Mus musculus: one gene and its partner. The protein of the gene in region 1 purifies or fractionates together with the protein of each later gene. This does not show direct contact. Links are inferred from orthologs where the notes say so. Each region holds a gene or a part of one and is shown on either strand. Other genes may lie near its edges.

Region 1 (11,253 bases):
TCTCCATTTCAGGGGTCCCAGCTCTCATTATCAACCTCACACCTCGAAATCTACATTATAATTTGAATTTTAAAAGCATGTATTTGGGCCAGGCGTGGTGGCGCACGCCTTTAATCCCAGCACTCGGGAGGCAGAGGCAGGCGGATTTCTGAGTTCAAGGCCAGCCTGGTCTACAAAGTGAGTTCTAGGACAGCCAGGGCTATACAGAGAAACCCAGTCTTGAATCCCCCTCCCCCCAAAAAAAAGCATGTATTTGGAATGTGCCATGTATTGAGCACTGAGCTCAGTAACATTTTCTTGACTGGTAGTAAACAGAAATTAAAAACCTCACCCACAATTTAGCCTTTCTAGCTTCAGCTACTTGACATCATATACTGATTTCAGTATCATTTGTCCTATATTATATGTGTTTTTAAAAATGATTTATATGTGTCAGGCAGTAGTGTTGCACACCTTTAATCCAGCACTCAGAAGGCAGAGACAGGCAGATCTCTGAGTCTACAGAGTTCCAGGACAGCCACTGCTACAAGGAGAAACCCTATCTCAAAGAAGAAAACAAAACAAAAAAATGTGCATGATATATGTAGAGCAGGTGCCCTTGGGAGGCCAGACGTGATATACGACCCAACTGGAACCAGAGCTACAGGCAGCTGTGAGCCACCCAAAGCGAGTGTTGGGAACAGAACTTTGGGCCCTCTGGAATAGCAGGAAGCACTCTTAACCCCAGAGTCATCTTTCCAACCCCTATGAAGGATTGTAATAGGAAAGGTAACAATGTTAAAAGGCTGTAAAGAATACAAAGTACCATGTGACTACTACATGTCAGGTAGAGTGTGATCAGTTGTCCTGGTGCATGAAGAAGCATGGCTAGGTTTTACCAAATTCCATTGTAGAAAGTCAGTACTAGCTGGTGGTGGTGGCCCACATCTTTAATCCCTGCACTCAGGAGGCAGAGGCAAGCCAGTCTCTGAGTTCAAGGCCAGCCTGGTCTACAGAGTTCTAGGACAGCCAGGGATAAAGAGAAACCCTCTCTGAAAAAACCCAAATCAGTACTGGCAGGGTGCTTGGCACCTAGTAAGCAACAGAGGCTGATCACAGAGGGAACAGAAGACCCACTGTTTCTCACTCCACAGTTAAGATCCAGGCTCTTGTGCCTCAACATTCTATGACTTTATTCAACAATCACTGCATTCTCCAAGGATGAGCAGCAGAACCAACAGTGAAAGGTAGACATCACCCCTTCCTTCCTTCCTCCCTCCCTTCCTTCCTTCCTTCCTTCCTTCCTTCCTTCCTTCCTTCCTTCCTTCAAGCAAGAGAAAAACATTACACAAAAAATATGAATCGCTGGGCGTGGTGGCACATGCCTTTGATCCCAGCACTTGGGAGGCAGAGGCTGGCGGATTTCTGAATTTGAGGCCAGCCTGGTCTACGGAGTGAGTTCCAGGACAGCTAGGGCTACACAGAGAAACCCTGTCTCGAACCCCCCCCCCCAAAAAGTATGAATCCCAGATCATATGGAGCCACATGAGGAAAGGAGAGCTGTGACAGGGGGAACCTCTCTGAAAAGTCTTTCCTGAAGCTGAGACTAGGCTGAGAAGGAGCCGAGCAGCCTGAGAGAAGCTTGGAAGCCAAGGCCCTGAGCTACTGTGGCTCTGCTCATGCTTTGGCTGCCTCTACTACCAAGCTGTAACCCCTGACGTATTGAATTTGCCACACTTTACTGCCCAGACTGGTCTCAAACTTGCAGTCTTTCTGCCTCTGTTTCCAATATGGCTCTGATTACAGGTGTGTTCTACCATGACTAGTTCTTTTTTTTTTTTTTTTTTGATTTTTCGAGACAGGGTTTCTCTGTGTAGCCCTGGCTGTCCTGGAACTCACTCTGTAGACCAGGCTGGCCTCGAACTCAGAGGTCCTCCTGTGTCTGCCTCCTGAGTGCTGGGATTAAAGGCGTGTACTACCATGCCCGGCTACCATGACTAGTTCTTATGTTGTCGTTTTGGTAGCATTCTCTAACGCTGACTTAAACTTTTCTCAAGTGAGTGCTATAAGTAAGCTTTATAATGCCTTCATAAGTTAATCACAGCCATGCTATTATTTTATTTATTTTCTTTTTATTGAGGATTGAACTCAAGGCCTTGCACACTCAACTAATAAGCTGTACCCCAGTCCTATTCATTTGCGTGTGTGTGTGTATGGGAGGTTACTATGGATCATGCAGCAATGCTATCAACACAAAGCCTGGAGGCTGTCACCTCTGCCAAGAAAGACAGTTGAGTTCATGGGCAGTAACATGAGCATGTATTAACTAATAAGCCTTAGATGTAACTAAGGGATGGACAGAGGTTCCGTGGCTTTATGGAGAGTGATTGGATGTACAGACTGTGCAACTTGACCCAAGCTCATGGAGAACTGAAGCCTAGACAGATGAAACACTCTGCCCAGGTTTACTTAAACTTGAAAGACTGTTAGTATCTGAACTCAGGTCTAACAACCGATGCAGTCGATTTATCACACTGCCTTCTCATTGAGGACCAAAGGGCCACCATCCAAATTATCTTACAGAAGAAAAACCTAACAAGCCTTGCTGCTTGGCACATGGCTAGTTACAGGCATTAAAGGCAAACCCTTGTTTCCTGGCTCTCAAATCAGAGACTATCTACATATTTTATTTGTTCTTTGAAGGACCTAGAATTCTTGCATTCCTCAAAATACAGACAAAATGTATTCAGTAGGGATTACAAAGTCCTTAGCAGCTGTTCAGAGAACTGAGACCTCCTAAAGAGAGCACTCCTTCTATGGTATTTTTGTTTCATCCTCATTTGGCTACTAATGGGAATACATCACAAATGATGGTATATTCCCAGGAAGCAGTTTACTCCCAGGAGAGATGGTGGTCATTTGAAAGCAAAGGCTTCAGGTTCTCATGGTCTTAAAAGCCAGGAAGGGGCTCTGAGGTTATAAAAAGAAAATCTTCAGCTTGACTTGAGCTATGGTCTTAAAAAAATCAGGCTGACCTCAAAATCCCTGTATAGATGAGAATCACTTTTAACCCTTGCCTCTATGCACAAACTGAGATTATAGGTGTGGCCCACCACTCTTGCTTCAGAAAACTTATAAAAAATATATATAGTGGGGTTGGGATTAGAGCCTGTCTAGCATGTACAGGGTCCTGGGTTCAAACCCACAGGACCTTTTCAATGGTGCCTTCCTGAAGAGAAACATTATGACTGAAAAAATAAAAGCTTTAAAAATCCTTCCAGAGGGGCCCTTAAATGGCACAAATTTAGGTACTGTAGTTTAATGGTTTGATTCAGAATTACAAGATGTTATCACTAAATATTACATGATACTAGAAAGGAACTTTTACTCAAGGGTCTTGTAGTCTCACTGCAAAGCAGACACATCACTGCACACCATACAGTGCAGTCCTGCTGCGAGCTACAACTCGGAGGAGATTACCGATTAGACAACCATATCCTTTAAGTGATATTATAAGACTTAGAAAAACTTACACTCTGATTTGACGAATAGGTCCATATTTCCCAAATATATCATACATTTCTTCTGCTGTGATTTTGTATGGCAAATTCCTTATATACAAAATCCGATTTACTTCAGGTGGGAGGCGAATCTAAAATGAGAAATAAGGATCATTATACTGAAGGACAGCAGTGCGCAGTCATGGTAAAGACCCCAGTGATGCCAAAGAAGAAGCCAAGAGTAAGAGCTACCACCGGATGCTCCTCAGGAAGTCAGCAGAGGGAAGACTGTCAGGAGCAACTAAAACCCCGCTCTACTTAACAAGGATCCCCACTTCACTTACACATCCATCCTTAGTGTCTCGTGGGGAAGAAAGGACAGTGAATCCCACTCATACGCCTTCTCATGGCTTAGGAGCCTGCATCAGTGACTTCTCTTGTTCTTACAGGCTTTCCCTTCTCACCAGTTTCTAGTCCCCAGTTGAGCAGCTGATCTGGTCCTCCCAATCCACACAAAACAAAGTACTGGGCTCCTCTTCACTTATGCATCAAACAGTTACTAAGGGCCTTTTTTTTGGGGCGGGGGGAGGTTTGAGACAGGGTTTCTCTGTGTAGCCCTGGCTGTCCTGGAACTCACTCTGTAGACCAGGCTGGCCTCGAAGTCAGACATCCACCTGCCTCTGCCTCCTGAGTGCTGGGATCAAAGGCGTGCGCCACCACTGCCCAGCTACTAAGTGCCTTTTAAATGTACACAGTGAGCTAGGTACTAAGAGAGATGCCTTGAATGAAAGACAAGGTGTCTACCTTCCCTGCACTTTCCAGCTCTACCTTTTTTTAAATCTTGCTTCTGTTTTCAGTCATGCAGGCTGCAAAGGAAAGTCTGTCCTGACTGACTCATCTTCTTTATAGGACACCCAGACCTGAGCTACCACTTGAAAGTGTCTTTACTAACATCTTTTCATTCCAGCGTTCCCTTGTCAGCCTTTTAGGGGCCTGGCTGTTGTTCCTCCTATCAGTGACATTGATACTGTGCCCCAGTTTGTGGCTTGTCTTGACCTGCTATACACTCTTCACTCTCACCCTTCTTGTTGTTCCTCCTATCTGTGACATTGATACTGTGGCCCGGTCTGTTGCCTGTCTGAACCTGCTGTACACTCCTCACTCTTAGCCTTCTTCCTCTACAGCTGACTCACACGTCCCTCTTTGCTACTACAGTCAATTACATACCAGACAAAACATTTTCTTTCTTTCTTTCTTTTTTTTTTTTTTTGGTTTTATGAGGCAGGGTGTCTCTGTGTAGCCCTGGCTGTTCTGGAACTCACTCTGTAGACCAGGCTGGCCTCGAACTCAGAAATCCGCCTGCCTTTGCCTCCCGAGTGCTGGGATAAAAGACATGCGCCGCCACCACCATGCCCAGCTCAGACAAAACATTTTCAGTAATCACTTATTAAACCAACACGGCTTTTGGTATGAAGCTAAGCATTATATGAATGAAAGGATAAGATATTTGCCCTCAGGCTGGTGAGCTGGCCCTCGCCAGCAAGCCTGGTGAGCTGTCAATCCCTGGAATCCACATGGAGAGAACCGACTCCCACAAATTGTCGTCTGGCCTCTACATGTGCACATACAATAATAAACAAACATGAAAGTAAAAACGCTTATCCCTACCTTCAAATGAGTAGTGGTGATAATTAGACAGACTATAAAAGTTTAAGATTTCCAGGTCAAGTTTGATAATCAACAACTGCCACACAAATATATTTCTCCAGTAAATCTGCTTTTTCACTGTGTAAAACACTGTGTATGTCTCTCTCTTCTCTCCTAAAACTTCACCATCATCATCCCCTGTAAAATTTGAAAAGGCTCTATACTCTTCTCAGCCAACATAGGATATGACCCGGGGCTCCACACTTCTTGAAGAAAACAGATATGATCAAATGGTAACTATATATTCCTATTGTAAACTTTATCCATCTATGTCCATCCAACCATTTTTTTCTTCTATTGGTGTACCAACCACTCCCCTCTTTACTTATTTTTGGTTGTCATGGTTTGAGGTGCTGGGAGTCAAATCCAGACTCACGCCCACTAGGCAATCACTGAGCCACATTCCAGTTTTACTCTGGAATCTTACATATCAGGTCTCTACCATTATGTTGGCTCACTCTCGTTGGTCTATAAAAAGCACTGTAGGTATCTTTAAAACAATTCAATTTCTCTATTAATAAGAAAAATCATAGAATCAGCTCTACAGTTTTGTCCTAACTCCTACCATCTTTTTATTTTACAGGAACTAAGTTTTCATTCACTGAAATGATTCACATAATCGCGGTTGCCCAAAATCTTCATCAGGATATCCAATGGTCAATTATGTGTCTTTGTTTTGGTGTGATTCTAAGTTTTAACCACTTCTTAATTTCCTGAAAGATGTTTTTTTTTTTCCTTAAAGGTTTTGGTAACACTCACTGACAACAGTAGAACATAAGCCCGACTAGTCCTTTACACAGTAGTGTTGAATAAACCCAACTGATGAATTGCTTCCCGTTTGTAAGACAAGAGACAAAGCAGGTGCTTACATAATATTAATAGAGGATTCCCAAAGTTCTACATTCGAGAAAAATCCCAGGCTCCAGCTGGCAAGGAACCAAATAGTTACTCCGTATGTCTTTTTGGACTCAGAAGAGCCTAACGCCTGGTCCTAGGCGTTACGAGGTCACTGATGCCAGGGGGCTCTCAATAGGGGTGGGGCGAAAAGTCGCTCAAAGAACACACCCCTGAGGACGAGCCCAGGACAGAACCTCCTTTGACAGAACTGATAACAAGCTTCCCCAACTATGGGCGGAGGGACAAAAAACGCTCCCCAGGCACGCAGCAACAGTCAAGCAACAACATCGCTTCCCTGTCACGCAGAAAGCGGGGTACTCACATTCGCCCTCTTAGCCGCTTGCATCGCCATCTTGGCGGGCTGATGTAGGTTACCGTAAGATCCCTCTGGATATTTCTAAACCTGATCGCCTTCGTGGGCGACACGGCGTCAGATACAGAGTATTTACAGCCAGGTAGCGCCGGAAGCTTTTACAGCAATGCCGGAAAGTCCGCGTCTCAAATTAGGACGCGTTTACTTCCTAGAAAAGATGCTCCAAGTCACACTACAGAGAACGCATTCTCAAGCCGGAAAGCGAACTAGCAAGCTCCAGAACGCTTCCGGATTGCGGACCGGAAGGGGCGGGGCGAATGCCAAGGGAAGGGAGGTGTTCCGCTTGAGGGGGTGTGGCTTAAGGAGCGAGGGGCGGGGTCCATGAGAGAGATCAGACCCAGAGCCTGCGATTTAGCGCGCCCAGGTCTCGGAGAGGAACCCGGCTCGCCAGCGCTTCCAACAGAGGTCCCAATCTGAACTTTGCTCGGAAGGCCGATCCCGGGGCCCTGGGCCTCAGGTCGCGCTTCACCTGACCGTCGAACTCCCTCACCCGGTTCCCGCGGCCCCTGTCCACGCAAACAGAGCACACAACCCGTCACATGCATCTTTTTATTTCCTTAGACCAGCTTTACAGGACATGGGAAGAGAGGCCACTTCCGAGTTTGCTCGGAGGTCCTCCTTCACTAGGGCAGCTCCAAGACGATTTTGCCCGCGCTCCTGTTAGCCCCCACATATTAGCCACTTGAATATAAGTTGCCGGGTAGACTCTATCAAGAACCAGCAGCAGACGTTGGGGGCTGTTTGCAGAGAAAGGCAGAATCTGCTCCGTGGAGGTTTTCACCGGCGTTTGTACTAAGGAAAAGATTATCAGCCTGAAGAAAGGCCTTAACCCTGTTATTCTCCATCCTGCCTAGCCCTAATGTTTTGAGTATCTAAAACAGCACACCCTTTCACTTCCCATCAGGAAAGAGCATGCTTTCAAATGTGCACCCTCATTCTGTACCAGGTAAGACTGAAGGCTGCAGTAAAATACTAGTGCAAGTGACAGACTTACATAGCTTAACACAAAAGGAATGCTGAAGCCTTATCGCTGCGAAACTGATGGGATATACTCCCAAAGCTGGCTCCTTCTATGATGCTACAGAGGATTTTAGGAACATAAACCTGTCGAAGGTCCAAGCTTACATAGGCTTTTTTGGTATACTGAGAAGAGGTCTACCCTGAAAACAAAGCCGTGGGCCTATGTGAAGACTTAATACTGTGGCCATGTTTTTGCTCATTCTGATAGAAACATATAAATATGAAGTATAGAAATACGTGGGAGGGTTTAGAGAATTAATTATCTGAACACAGTTACCAATTGGTACACAAGGTAGCAGACTTATTTATAGGCTCCCTAAAGCAAGCTGTTTGTACAAAGGCAGTTTTCTGGGTGACAATCCTACTTTCTTTCACTTACCACCCACCTCATTATCCCTAGATCGAGCAAACTAGTGATCCGACTACCTCATTTAAAAAGTAGTTTTAAAGGCTGGGCGTGGTGGCGCACGCCTTTAATCCCAGCACTCTGGAGGCAGAGGCAGGCAGATTTCTGAGTTCAAGGCCAGCCTGGTCTACAAAGTGAGTTCCAGGATAACCAGGGCTATACCGAGAAACTCTGTCTCAAAAAACAAACAAACAAAAAAACCCAAACAAACAAAGAAGTAGTTTTAAAAACAGGGCCCACTAAAACTAACAACAGCTCCTACTATTAAGCCACAGAGAGCCCAGCAACCATCAAGAGCTGGGCAGTTGACATTCTTCTCCTAATAGGATCAGCACCTTCCAAAGGAGAGAGATTGGTAGTCATGTTAAACGCAAGCATTGGTACTCATAAGGTTTCAAGGTATATCTCTGGACATGTGAGTAAAGATAAACATAGGTGTGGCTGTGCGTGCCTATAACCCCAGCACGTGGAGTTTGAAGCAGGGAAAGCTCGAGCTTAAGGCTAGCCTGGGCTACCTATTGAGGCCTTGCCTGAAAATAACAAATCACTACAAGCGCAGGAGGCAAGTACGGTTGGACCTGAAGCACTGGCCATAGAAAGACTGTAGTGAGTGGAATTATAATAGCATGTGTTACATCGTGCATAGAAAGACTGTAGTGAGTGGAATTATAATAGCATGTGTTACATCGTGCATAGAAAGACTGTAGTGAGTGGAATTATAATAGCATGTGTTACATCGTGCATAGAAAGACTGTAGTGAGTGGAATTATAATAGCATGTGTTACATCGTGCATAGAAAGACTGTAGTGAGTGGAATTATAATAGCATGTGTTACTTTGTGCATCTCCTACCTGAGTCCCTGTTCCCCACCTTATCACAGAGGTGGGAATAACTACACCAACACCTGGTATTTTGTCTCATCCCCCCCCCCCCCAATAAATCCATTCCCACGGCAGCCAGGCATGGGTAAGAGTGGAAAAGAGGAAGTCCTGTTCCAGACCCAGAGCAGACTGATCGTCCACATCTAACTTAGCGGGTCTGTGTAGTGAAAACTTTGGTCTCTTTGACAATCACAGACATATTATGGGAATATGTTTTCATTTTCATCCAGGTGAGGCCTATGGGCTGCTTTAGATTGTCCACAGCCGCTGACTAGGACTGGCCTTGTGCTCCTGCGGGGGTGGGATTTGTCAGCTGCAGGCAGTTTCTGAGACCACATGATGTTTAGAATTCTGGGGACTCCTCCTTCAAAGGGAAATGTAAATGCTAGGGCCCTGAGAGGCAGGTGAGTTGTTGGTTTATCATGGCTTAAGTAGTTGTGCACAAAGAAGAAACAAGAGGAAATTAGGTATCCTGAATGGGAAGATTAAACTTGCCCCAAGGAGAGCAATGGCCCTAACCAGCAGGAAGTAGTCAACCTATGACTCTGTCCCCCTTCCTCTCTATCCTTGTTTCTCCCCTATCTAGCATTAGGGGGTTGAAAGGGTAGAAGAAAAGGAATGGAGAAGGGTAGAAAAAAGAGAACCCACAAAGTAGCAAATGCCACTCCAGGTCTGCAGGGGCTGTCAGCTTTGTTCTCATCTCTCCCTTTCTACTCACAAGGAAAATGGAAAAAGATGAATGGGGGAAAAAAAAGACAGATTTGTGCTAAAATGTAGCTCAGTTGGTATAGTGTCTGCCTACCATGCATGAAGCCTTGGCTTTTTGTGATGGTTTGTATATACTTGGCCCAGGGAGTGGCACTATTAGGAGGTGTGGCCTTTGAGAGTAAGTGTGTCATTGTGGGCATAGGCGTAAGAGCCTCATCCTAGCTTCCTGGAAATCAGTATTCCCATAGCAGCCTCCAGACGAAGATGTAGAACTCTCAGCTCTGCCTGCACCATGCCTGCCATGAGATGCTGCCATGCTCCAGCCTTGATGATAATGGACTGAACCTCTGAATCTGTAAGCCAGCCCCAGTTAAATGTTGTCCTTATAAGAGTTGCCTTGGTCATGGTATCTGTTCACAGCAGTAGAACCCTAACTAAGACAGCTTTGACCCCCAGAGTTACATAATCCAGGCAAGATGGTGCACATCTATAATCCCAGCACTCAAGAGATGAGAGGTCGGAGAACCAGAATCTCAAGGTCACTCTACTACTGTGCGTTTGAGGCCAGCATGAATACAGGAAACCTTGTCTTCAAAAATATTCAGATTTGGTATTAGAACACACACACACAAACACACACACACATATACACCTGCTTCCCGGGTTCCCATCCTGGCCCCTTTTTGACCATCTCTAGATTAGTCTGTGCTGCATCATCTTTCGGTGCCCACTGAGCTGTGAGTGCCTTACCTTTAATGAATCTTAGAGTTGTTTCAGAAAAATCTTCTCTATAACTGAATCCAGCTGCAGCCATGAGCTTCCTTGCCATTTGAAGCTTATGCTGGAAGCCAGCTCTAACCAGAAGAACAGTGCCAGCACCCCGAGCCAGCTGGATGACAGCTGTGACCGCTTCACTTCATCTCCGTGGATCAGCACAAAGCCTCCAGCCTGAACATGGCCTGGGATGGAAAGCAGAGAAACTGTGGAAACTTTCTCTTCTGTCCAAGTATAGAAATAGCCTGTGTACATCAGCTGACCCTTGGACCAAATGCCAAGTAGCTTGCATTTTGAAGGGGTGCATTGACAGTTCTCCATCTCTGCCTCTCTCTTTTCTTTTTCTTTCCTTGTGTGTGTGTGTGTTCCTTATTGTCTCTGATCAAGTGGAAAATGGGCTTTAGTTACAAAAATATTGTAGCCACATCCATCATCTCTATCCAAAATACAAAATATACTGAAGAAATCCTTTTCTTTTTCACTGTTGAGGACCAAAGTCTGGGCCCCTGAGCATGCTAAGAAAATGTTCTACCTCTGAGACACAGTCCAAGTCTTCCTCTGTTGCCCTAAAGACAAGTCCGCATGATGTGAGGTTCAGATTGCTCCTGGGTCTCGTGTTAAGATGTGCACAGACCTCCTATCTGCTAACTTTGGCTCCCAGCCCCCATAGCAAGCCATCTAGCATGGTTTGATGGCCATGGCCTTCAGTGATCCTTCAGGGCAGGGTAATGGGTGTCCTAGAGGATTGCTGGGGCTCAGAGAAGTTGGCTTACTATGGAATGAGCCGTGCTATGGAAATGAGCATCAAGCTTTCTCAAGAAGTGACATCTGAAAGGCTGTAATCCAGACCTCTGGGGTGGCTGCAGCTTGAGACACGCAGTTCTGAGATGGGTACAAGGAGATCTTCAGGGGCTTTAGCTTTCACCAGGCAGCAGAGCCATGGCCAAATTTCTACTCTTCCTGTGTCCCTAGCAGCCAGGTTCCAGCTCAGCCACATGTCCCAATGAC
Region 2 (10,554 bases), on another chromosome or scaffold:
CATCATTCCTGAGTGCAGTGGTGACACACATATCACCCTGCCCAGCTTCTAATTTTTAGATAGTTTTTGAAAATTTTAGAGCAGATTTAGGTTTGCCAGAAGTTACTCATTTTTATGAAGAAAGCAGAATATCTCAAGTAGTGACTCTAAAGCCAATACATTTAAATAACAGAGGCAGGAGATTGTCTTCTGCATCCTAATTGGAAGCTCATTTGACTCACTCTGTGGTGGGAGCTTAAAGCATTGGTTTCTTGTGTGCTGTCATCCTGCTGTCCATTTAGAGCAGTTAGCACAGAATTTCTGCCTAAGAGCACTGGGGTAACTCAGTGGCAGAGCACTTGGCTACTGGGCCAGATCCTACAGAGCCATCCAACAATAAGAATATAAAAAGGATAGGTATCCAACCCCTATGTTCATTGATGTGGTGAAAGGCATACAAATGCTGCTAGAAGGGAGGGACTATAGGAGAGGAAACAGACTTATTTAAAAGTGAAGGAAGGTATAGCATTCAGTGATAGGCAGGCTGTTTCTAGTGTGGTGGAACTAGTAGTTGAAACTGTTCTCTGTTACATATCAAAACCTAGGTAGCAAATGTTTCTTGATCAGTTTTACTTTTTACTGCACTTTGGTCAATTATACACAAAAACATGTTAGGTTTTCTGGTCATTTTCTTTCCAGATAACCTACGATCCTATTGAGTGAGCATTCCTCTATCCACACGTGCCTCCGTCTTCAGGCAAATACTAACCTTGGCTGGTACTTGGTGATGCATACTACCAATACCAAGCCTTTTTTTCTCTTCCACAGGTGGCTGGTGAAGGTGCTGATTATCACAGGTGTGTACCTACTGCTAGGGTCTACTGTGGGATCTATAGGGAGAGGGATGGCCTTCACAGAGTACTGAGGCTGCCCTAACGGGGTCTCTCAGGGAACTTTGCAGGTGGATGTCAGTGTGCATCTTAGTGACACTCATCATCTGGTCTAAAGCAGGAATTAGCCCCTCTGGACAGTAGGAATAGTTTGGCTTTTATGAACCTGAAAGAACATGTAACAAGCAAACCACAGCTTCATTCTCCTTTGGAATTATCCATTCCAGATGTCTCGACTGACAGATTAGGTCCTGGAGAAAACATTTTGAGTCTATAATACATTAAACTAAGGTGAGATAAGAGCCAGGTACTCTGAATACCACGTGTGAATGATACACAGGAAGCTTGGTCATCTCCACTGGGGCCATGTTACTGTTTGGAGACGGCTAATAATAATTTAGTAAGGTAAGAAAGGTACAGCATTGTCTCTCATGGTTGCTGTACAGTGCTCAGAAATGGAAAAGGAAATATACTGAACTTGGCCCTACAGAGGCGTTCTCTTTCCCTGAGAGAGCCCTCACTGAGACAGGACGAAAAAGACATTGTGAATATTTATAATTCCTAGTAATAACAGTGTCTGAAGCTTGATTTTTGGTATTGAATGTCAACTTTTAAGGTCTGTAATCTCCCTAAGACTATTAATGTGTCTCAGGACTTCATTGCTGGGAATGGCAATGGTAGAAGTTCCAGTGTGGTTGGTATTCAGGGAAGCTGTGGTTAAAGGGATTTTTAAAGCAGTAGTCATTGCTCTCTTCCTTGTGGAATTATTTAGACAAAGTGCCTGCTGTTAATTGAGCATTTCCTTTATATCTGAGTAGTCGGGTCTTGTGGCTAAAGGGAAGGTGTAAACAGTAAAAGCAGCAAGGAAAGAACCGCGTGATTTCTCCCAAAGACACTGCTTTCCTCTCAAGTGAGGGGAGACACTGAAAATTGTAGCTGGTTAAAGTCCTTAATTAGTTTGCTGTAATTTAGTATCACACAGCTTTGAAGGTACAGTAAATGGGAACACGGGAGATGATGTAGTGTTCTCATAAAAATAAACAGTTTCTTACTACATGTCAGAAATTTCCAAGTCAAAAGTTCAGAGCTGGAGTAAAGTTTTAAGTTTGATGTCATGTTGAGATCAGTTTAGGTCTTCGTAAGCTATTGGAAATCCATTTAGGAACAACCATATCCTAATTTCCTTTTTAAAAGTATTTACTTGTTATAGTGTATGTGTGGGCATGTGTGACACCATGTGCATGTGGAGTTCACAGGTCAGCTCTGTGGAGTTGGTTCTCTCTGTCCATCCTTATGTGGCTTTTGTGAGTGGAACTTGGAACACCAGGCCTGAACAGCGCCTTCATGCTCTGAGACATGTCATGATAGCAAGCAGGGCTCGACATGTAAAATCATTGTAAATGATTTTCCAAAGCATTTGCTGACAGTACAATCAAAAACCAAGTGTCTGGTCTAGCACTGCTCTCTAACATTGTATATATGCTTTATGGGTTACCTGTCTGTCCATTTATCATTTGAACTGCGTGGTGGGTTGGGAAAGATCTTTGATTCTTACTTTTTGCTAGCCATGTTGTATATGTGTATTATTAACTGGAAGTTTTATTAACAGCATTTAACCCTTACTGTGTGAAACAGTCACATACCATTATTTCTATAATAAAATACTGATTACAATCACCAAACTGTACGTCCTGCTAATAGGTCAGAGTCCTGTGTAGGCTGCACCAGTGATGTGCCTTCACCCTCCTATAAAGAACGCTGATTAAAGTAGTTCTGATAATAATCTGGAGTAATACAAACTAAAAATGGTCCTTGATGTGTATGGAGTAAGTAGGTTAGTCTTGTGGCATCGAGCTCTGACAAGGCTCGGGGCGAGTAGAGCCCTGTAGCTGCCAATCAAGTTTAGTGCCTTACTCTGTTGTTCTGTCCTTTGTTTCACTGATTTCTGTGTTGGGCACAAAATGACACTCAAAAGTTGATATAGAAATACAGATACTGAGTGGGAAAAAACTTATGAAAGCAGTAAATGTAACTTTATTCAGTATATATCCGGTGTTCTATATTGTTGACGTAGGCAACTCAGAAGTTATTTTATACTGTGGAGTGAAGGTATGGGAAATAGATGGCCTTTAGCAATGGGGTTGGGCAGGAGATTAAGATTGCCTTTATAGAACTCAGATCTTAAGACCTTGAGAAACTCATTAGTGTTTGTTTATTAAACAACATTATGAAAAGCAAATTCTAGTAAGATTGCTTGTAACCACTGTGTTGCTAACAATTTTAAACAGAAAAGCCCTAGAGGTCAGGCACTGACTATCAACATTTGCCCTTCCCCCATTTCCTGGGTAACTGGTGCTCTCTCTTCTCAGTGGGATTAGGATTCCCAGGCTCCAGCCCTCGAAAAACCAAACATGTTCAACCCTCAAGTAGTCATTTTCTTCACTAAAGATTATATATATATATATGTTTGCATTCGCTCCCTTTAGAAGAAGTTAGTGCTTGGGTATCTTTTTGGTTTTTTTGGGGGGTGTTTTTGTTGTTGTTTTGGTGAGGTTTTTTTGTCTGTTTGTTTTGAGACATAGCCTTGGTGTCCTCAAACTTGGAGATCCACTTTTTTCTGCCTCCTGAGTGCTCAGATTCACAGAGTACCCCACCACGCCTGGCTGATCTCTTCTCTTAAAATGTCCCTTAAGTGGGTTGGAATCAGGCAGGATTAACTCAGCTGCCTGTCATGCAGGAAACTCAGTTCCAATCTCCAGCACATCATAAGCCAGGCATGGTGGCACACCTATGTATAGTTCTAGTGCTAAGGAAAGTAGAGTCAGAAGTTCAAAGTCATCTTTGGCTGTATATTGAGTTTGAGTCCAGCCTGGGCTACATAATACCCCATCAGTCAGTCAGCAATTGGCACAAATAGATTTGCTCTAGTTTTTCACACAGTTACTTAAGGTTTTCTTATATGTTTTATTATTATTATTTTATTTTTATCGTCTCTTTTCCAAATACCTGAAGGAAATACTAGTCTTCAGACATTTATACTCAGCGTGTTTGGGCATTTACTTGTAGGTTGCTAGGACAGCCAATCGTCTTTTGAACATTCTGTTTTGTGTGTGCATGTGTGTAGTGACTGCACATAGAAGTGTTGTGAAAGGTTTCTAAAACTGTTGTGTCTCAACTGCCTTTCTAATGCTAGTAAATTTGAATTTTTCCTAACAGCTCCTCTGTTTTCTTTTTTCCAGATGAGTTTGATGCCTACATCATTGTGTCTTTCGTGAATGCCACACTTGTGCTATCTATCGGAGAGACTGTGGAAGAAGTGACTGACTCTGGCTTCTTGGGCACCACTCCAACCTTGTCCTGCTCCTTGTTAGGAGATGATGCACTGGTGCAGGTGAGCGTGCACCTCCTCAGCGTGCCTTGGCCGTCCGTCCTTTGCCCATCCTTTGCCCATCCTTCTCTTGTTTTGTGGTGTGCTTGAATTCATGTTTCTTCATTCTCACCTTCCAGAAAACCTGAGGGGAGGGTCTAATGTCTTATCAACATAAAAAGGGGTACTGAGAATTCATCCCTTTCAGGCTTTGAATAACTCGGCAGTTAGGAAAATTTGAAGCCTAACATTTCCTCCCTGTTGGTCATTCCCTATCACTGCTTTTCTCATCTTTATCATTAACATGTGGGCTTGGGACCTTTCTCAACTGAGGTGGCAAAGCATGAACATTTCAAAAACAAGCAGTGCCTCATTTGTGTGGTCCCAGTGTGCCAGTGTGAGGGCCATTCTGGGTGACAATCAGATTGCTAGTTAGATGTTCTTCTTTGACTGACTTCTAGGTGTATCCAGATGGCATCCGACACATACGAGCAGATAAAAGAGTTAATGAGTGGAAGACTCCCGGCAAGAAAACGATTGTGAAGTGTGCAGTGAACCAGCGACAAGTGGTGATCGCCCTGACTGGGGGAGAGCTGGTCTATTTCGAGATGGATCCTGTATGTTACTTGTTTTGTTCTGCTGGCCCTGTGTTATCTTCCATTATGGTCCTTGGGGTGGGGTTCTGTTGTTGTGCTTAGGCAGTGTTGTCAGTGTATGTATCTTAAGCATGCATGGATTCACAAGAAAGAGAATTGGGACTCTGAAGTGTCCACAAACAAGACAGTTTGGCCCCTTTTTTAAAGATTAAGGACAAAAACTAGGAAATCTAATTCAGATTACAGATGTGAAATCTCTTGAAAGCCAAATAGCTTGTTTTGTACCTCATCCTCATCTTCTAGTGAATATTTGGTAAAGAATTCTTTTATTTTCTTCTGTCTCGTTTCTCTTTTTTTGTTTTTTGTTTTGTTTTGTTTTGAGATACAGTCTAATGTAGAATTCTAGGCTGGTGACTCACAGCAGTCTTCCTGTCTCAACTTCACAAGTGCTGTGATTAGTCATGAGTTACTATTCCTGATTTTGCTATTTTATATGAAAATGTATCCAGAACTTACCTTCTACAGAAATCTCTAGTAGACTTGACATTTTTGTTGTTGTTTTGACTGTGTTTGAATTGGCTTTGGTGTATTAGGAAAGGGTTTTGTTTTTGAGATGGTCTCATGTAGACTAGATTGGCCTTGACCCTGTTCTTCTGTCTCCCTTTCTGTTTCCCATGTGCTAGAATTATAGTCTTGCATTACCACAGCTGGCTTTGTTCAGGGTTCTCATGATGAGAACAGATAAATGGCTTTATATATTTGTTTCTTGGTCTAGGATAGTGTATATTTATGCTACATCCTGCTTTTTTTCTTTCCCTCTGGGGCACTAACCTGTGAAGTTGATTTTGGGATCTGAAATGGTGAGATTCTTGGTCACTGACTTACTAAAAAGTGGAGTGAGATATAAAACAGTGTTAGCAGTGTTGCTCAGTTGATAGATCTCTAGCACTGTATAAACAGGGTGTGTTCAGACCCTTTGTAATCTCAGAACTCAGAGGAGGCCATGGTCTCAGGTTCATCCTTGAACGTAGCTAATAATAGTTACATGAAACCCCATCTCAGAAGCAAAAAGAGGGGTGAGAGGAGGCAAAAATAAAATTAAATTTAAAAAAAGTCTTAACAGCCCATCTTCCTTTCATACATAGTCCAGAGCTACAGGGTGAATTGTAGCACACAGACCTATTTTGTTTTTCTTCCTGTAGTCAGGACAGTTGAATGAGTACACGGAGCGGAAAGAGATGTCAGCAGATGTGGTGTGCATGAGTCTGGCCAACGTGCCCCCTGGAGAACAGCGATCTCGGTTCCTGGCTGTGGGGCTGGTGGACAACACTGTCAGAATCATCTCCCTCGACCCATCAGTGAGTGGCATTCTTAGTCTTCTGGGTGGGCCCTAAGCACCTGGCTCCCTAAAATCTGTGTCTATTGTTTTTCTCTCCTCTCCCCCATCTTGTCCAGCAGTGAGATCCTAAGCACCCAGTGTGGTGAGGTGTATGCTGCTGCCGCCTTTGATTCCCATAGCACACCTCGGGATGTTTAAGGATGTTGATCTGTGGCTACTATGTGTTTCTTCCTCAAAAGACTTGAATCCCTTTTGTAGTGTTTTAGATTCTATCTATGTTGTTCATGTTTTGCTTGCATGTTTGTATCAGGAAGTATCCAAGCCAACATGTAGATCCTGGGAGAGCAACAAGTTCTTTAAACCACTGGAGCCTTGCCTTCAGTTTAAAATCCTAAGACTGGTGATTAAAAAGGAATTTTACTTATTATAGGGCCTAATATGACTTTCTTACTTTGACCATTATCCACTTTGACAGAAATAAACAAGAGCTCCCCAAAACTTACTCTGAGATTTAGATTTAATAAGCATCTACTGTCTCAGTTTTCTTTTGGGGTTTCCATTTTCCTCAACAAAGATCCTCCTTCAATCCTAGCAGATTTCTGTGAGTATGTGTTTTCCAGAATTGTCTCTTACAGCAATTTTTCCTCCCCACTTCTGTTCCTTAGGACTGTTTACAGCCTCTGAGTATGCAGGCTCTCCCAGCCCAGCCTGAGTCTCTATGTATTGTGGAAATGGGTGGGACTGAGAAACAAGATGAGCTGGGTGAGAGAGGCTCTATTGGCTTCCTGTACCTGAACATTGGACTACAGGTAAGATGTCCAGGGGCTCACATTGGTGTAAGGCCTTCTTTGGTATCTATCAGCCTGTTCTTTATCCAGTCTAAGCATTTTCTTTGCCTGTAGTTCTAGATAGTCGCCTTGGGAAACTCATCATCTAGTGCTGTCAGAGACTGATTTTTCTCAACACTTAGAACATGTTAGGCAGGCCTGGAAATAGCACACACAAAGCGTCTTCATAGCTGGTAAAAAGTGCTTTGTGATAGGTGTTTTGGTTTGGAATTAAATGAGTCTTCAGTAGTGACCTATAGTTCCCATAGTATTCTAGTCTTTTAAAGTGAATTCCTCCCAGTTCATAATTGACCATGTTAGCTCTAGTGTGTAGAAGCCTGGGTGTTTTTGTAGCCAAAGGAGATGAGTTTTATCATGGTACAAAAAGCAGGAATCTAGTGTAAACTAGCATCGGTGCTCTCACGGTGCTATGTGCCTTACTTCCTGAATCAGGACCTGCAAAGACTTAAGTTAGATGGCAGACTTGTGCTTTTTCAGTTTTAGTTTCATACTTTAAAATGCTTGAGCATGAGACACACAAATGAGTCTTCATTTTCCCATTTAAAGGAGTATTTTACAGCAAATCTAGGGCAGTACCTCTTCCCTCCTATACTTAGTAATGTTATCTCTATAGTGTTTTGCTTTAAGAAACTAGTAATGTCATACCCACCAAGATTAGTAACACTTTCTGAATATCTGATACTTTGCATGTTTTAATTTCCTCGTGAAAAATCACAGTTAGTGCAGACTATAGACGTTGACGGCAGTTACTCACTCGTAACTGTTGTAGTGGAAGTGGCCCTACTCTGTTGCATCCCACTGGAGGTGCGTGATGTTGAAATGTTTGTAATCAAGTCTGTAAATTGAGGTTTATTCCTTTGCTCTAAACATACTTTATACAGGAAAAGGATAATGGCTCTCTCCCAACCCCTTCTTCAGTCACTAATTTTACAGTAGGAGTTAGGATTACAGCAGTCATTCTAGTTGAGTCTGATGAAGTAGGGATTTTGTTGGTTGGAGGTAGATTTTTATTTTTTAACTATATAAATTTGTGGGTATTTTCTTCTTCAAATTACTGTCATCTCTTAGATTTTTGTTTGCTTCATTTTTGATTGTGGTTTCCCTTGAAATTCGTTTGTTTATTTGACCCAGCTATCTTGCCTGCCTTCTTGCACAATTAGGTAACTGTTGCATTGGGAATGTTCTTGCTTCAGCCTTGAATCAGTCATCCCTTGGAACCGTGTTCCTTTAGGGAAAATGAGGCTTAGAGGTACCATAGTCAGTACATCCCAGCCTTTAATTGTTTGTTTTCTTTGTTTTGTTTTTTGCGGAGGTCTGCTTTTAAATTATAAAAAGTACTTAACTTAAATGATTTGGGGGGGATGGGGAGGTGAGATGGGGTTTCTTGACCCCTGGCTGTCCTGGAACTAGCTCTCCAAACAGACCGGCCTCAAACTCAGAGATTTTCCTGCCTCTGTTTCTTGAGTGTTGGCTTAAAAGACATGCACAATCCCCACCTGGCTTAAATGAAATATTTCTTAATGTACAGGAAATGTATGTATAATGAGAAGTGGGTTTTGCCAGTAGATGCTTAGTAACTAGGAGAGAATGAGTGAATTCCTGATTGTTGGGCGCTGTGACCTGTTTTATGTTGTTTTCGCCACCAAGTCATATCTTTGTCTTCTACTAAAGTAGCCAAAGGAAAATCTAACATAAAAGTTCCCATCATAAAAAGGAGGCTTTACCTGTTCCATCTTTTCCACTAGAACGGTGTACTGCTGAGGACTGTCCTAGACCCTGTTACTGGGGACCTGTCTGACACCCGCACTAGGTATCTGGGGTCCCGTCCTGTGAAACTCTTCCGGGTCCGGATGCAAGGCCAGGAGGCTGTAAGTAGTCAAAAGACATTTGGATGTTGGTACCACTGTGAACTTCTGACTAATTCACTTTGTAGGTTGATGTTCGTTTCACTTACATAGGAAATTCTGGGTTCTTTGGAGTTTTCTAAGAGATGGTCCATGAGATGGCACTGGGCATTATGAGGTTATAGGAAGCTTGAATATTGATCTTTGAGTCTATTTAGGCCTAGCTATCTGAGATGGAAAAGGATTATAGTGATCTCATGAGTCTACCTAATAGGAATGAGAGCCTATTCTTCGCAGTTCAGAGTTAACACTGCCACTGCCGTGCTAGTTCTTAAACGTTACCTTATTCACATCTACAGCTGTCCAACCTTGGAATAGAGTCTCTAATTTATACCCAAGGGAAAGTCGGTCCAGAGGAATGTGATTGATAAAGCTTGCTTTTTCTTTTTCTTTTTACTTATTTTTTTCCTTTCTTTATACAATAAGCCGTGTACTGCCTGTTTGGGCTCCCTTTGTTTAAAGTGGCTTTGTAGACTTCTAAAATTTGAGGCCAAAGTTGGGTTGTATGTTTGTTTGGTCAGTCTACCATGTATGAGCTTGTCCAGTCTGATTGGAACTCTTCCTCCCCAGGTTCTGGCTATGTCCAGTCGCTCATGGCTGAGCTACTCTTACCAGTCTCGCTTCCATCTCACCCCTCTGTCTTATGAGACCCTGGAATTTGCATCGGGCTTTGCCTCTGAACAGTGTCCCGAGGGCATTGTTGCCATCTCCACCAACACTTTGAGGTGAGAAAATACTGCCAGGCAGTGGTGGTGCACGCCTTTAATCCCAGTACTCCAGAGGCAGAGGCAGAGGCAGGAGGATTTCTGAGTTCCAGGACAGCCAGGGCTACACAGAGAAACCCTGTCTCAAAAAAACAAAAAGGAAAAGAGAAAATCCTCAGGCTTGAAGCCCAGCAGGAAGCTTTTGTGCCAAGTCCTCAGCCTGTGGTTCTACCAGAGTTGGAGGAGTTTGTAGAGATGGCTGAGAACAACCTTTCACCAGGAAAGAGTGTTGCAGCTGAAATTTAGTTTGGCTCAGGCGTTTAGAAACTGTGAGCCAAGTTTGAATTTGGCATTTAGCTTCTGTTTAGACTTTAGGAGCTAAGTTGTAAAACTAGTCTTGCACTTTAAGATTTCTGTTTCCTGGTGAAATGGTCATATCCCAAGACTAGTTTTAGAACAAGCGTTAAATCTGGATTTACCTATAGAATTATATCTTTTTTTAGCCATGGTTTCACCATGTAGCCCAGGACATGTTACATAGACCAGCTTGGCCTCAAACTCATAGAGATCCACCTGCTTATGTTTATTGAGTACTAGGATGAAAACCTCGTTCTTTATTTTTCATGACAGAATCTTACTAGGTAGCCAATGCTGGCTGGCTTCAAGATCAAATTTCAGGTGCTCACTTGGGCTCAAGTTGCATGCATGCACATACACACAAATACAGAAGGCCACTGAACATTCTAGTACTTATTGTTAGTCAATCACTTTTTGTCTATTAGTAATATATAAATATTTGTCTTAATTTTTTTGTGTGAAGGCAGGTTTTGTTTTTTCTTTGAAATACAGTTTTTGGAAAAAGTGAATTAGAAATATGATGAAGTGTTGTGGAGTATTTGCCAGAGTCTGCTGCTCTGATTTGGGTTT

What was found.
Region 2: the proteins of Sf3b6 (region 1) and Sf3b3 fractionate together in Homo sapiens (co-fractionation; 5 studies listed by BioGRID and IntAct, with this or other methods). This does not show direct contact. The link is inferred for Mus musculus from reciprocal best matches to the Homo sapiens genes SF3B6 and SF3B3.

What each region holds. Positions count from the first base shown.
Region 1 is NC_000078.6:4,812,972-4,824,224, reverse strand, and holds the start of Sf3b6 (splicing factor 3B subunit 6), read right to left. Parts: upstream 6,618-11,253; 5' UTR 6,436-6,617; coding exon 6,406-6,435; intron 3,632-6,405; coding exon 3,513-3,631; intron 1-3,512.
Region 2 is NC_000074.6:110,819,801-110,830,354, reverse strand, and holds part of Sf3b3 (splicing factor 3B subunit 3), read left to right. Parts: intron 1-807; exon of another isoform or gene 808-836; intron 837-4,108; coding exon 4,109-4,260; intron 4,261-4,697; coding exon 4,698-4,853; intron 4,854-6,034; coding exon 6,035-6,190; intron 6,191-6,836; coding exon 6,837-6,980; intron 6,981-8,764; coding exon 8,765-8,887; intron 8,888-9,493; coding exon 9,494-9,648; intron 9,649-10,554. UniProt on the Homo sapiens protein: Component of the 17S U2 SnRNP complex of the spliceosome, a large ribonucleoprotein complex that removes introns from transcribed pre-mRNAs.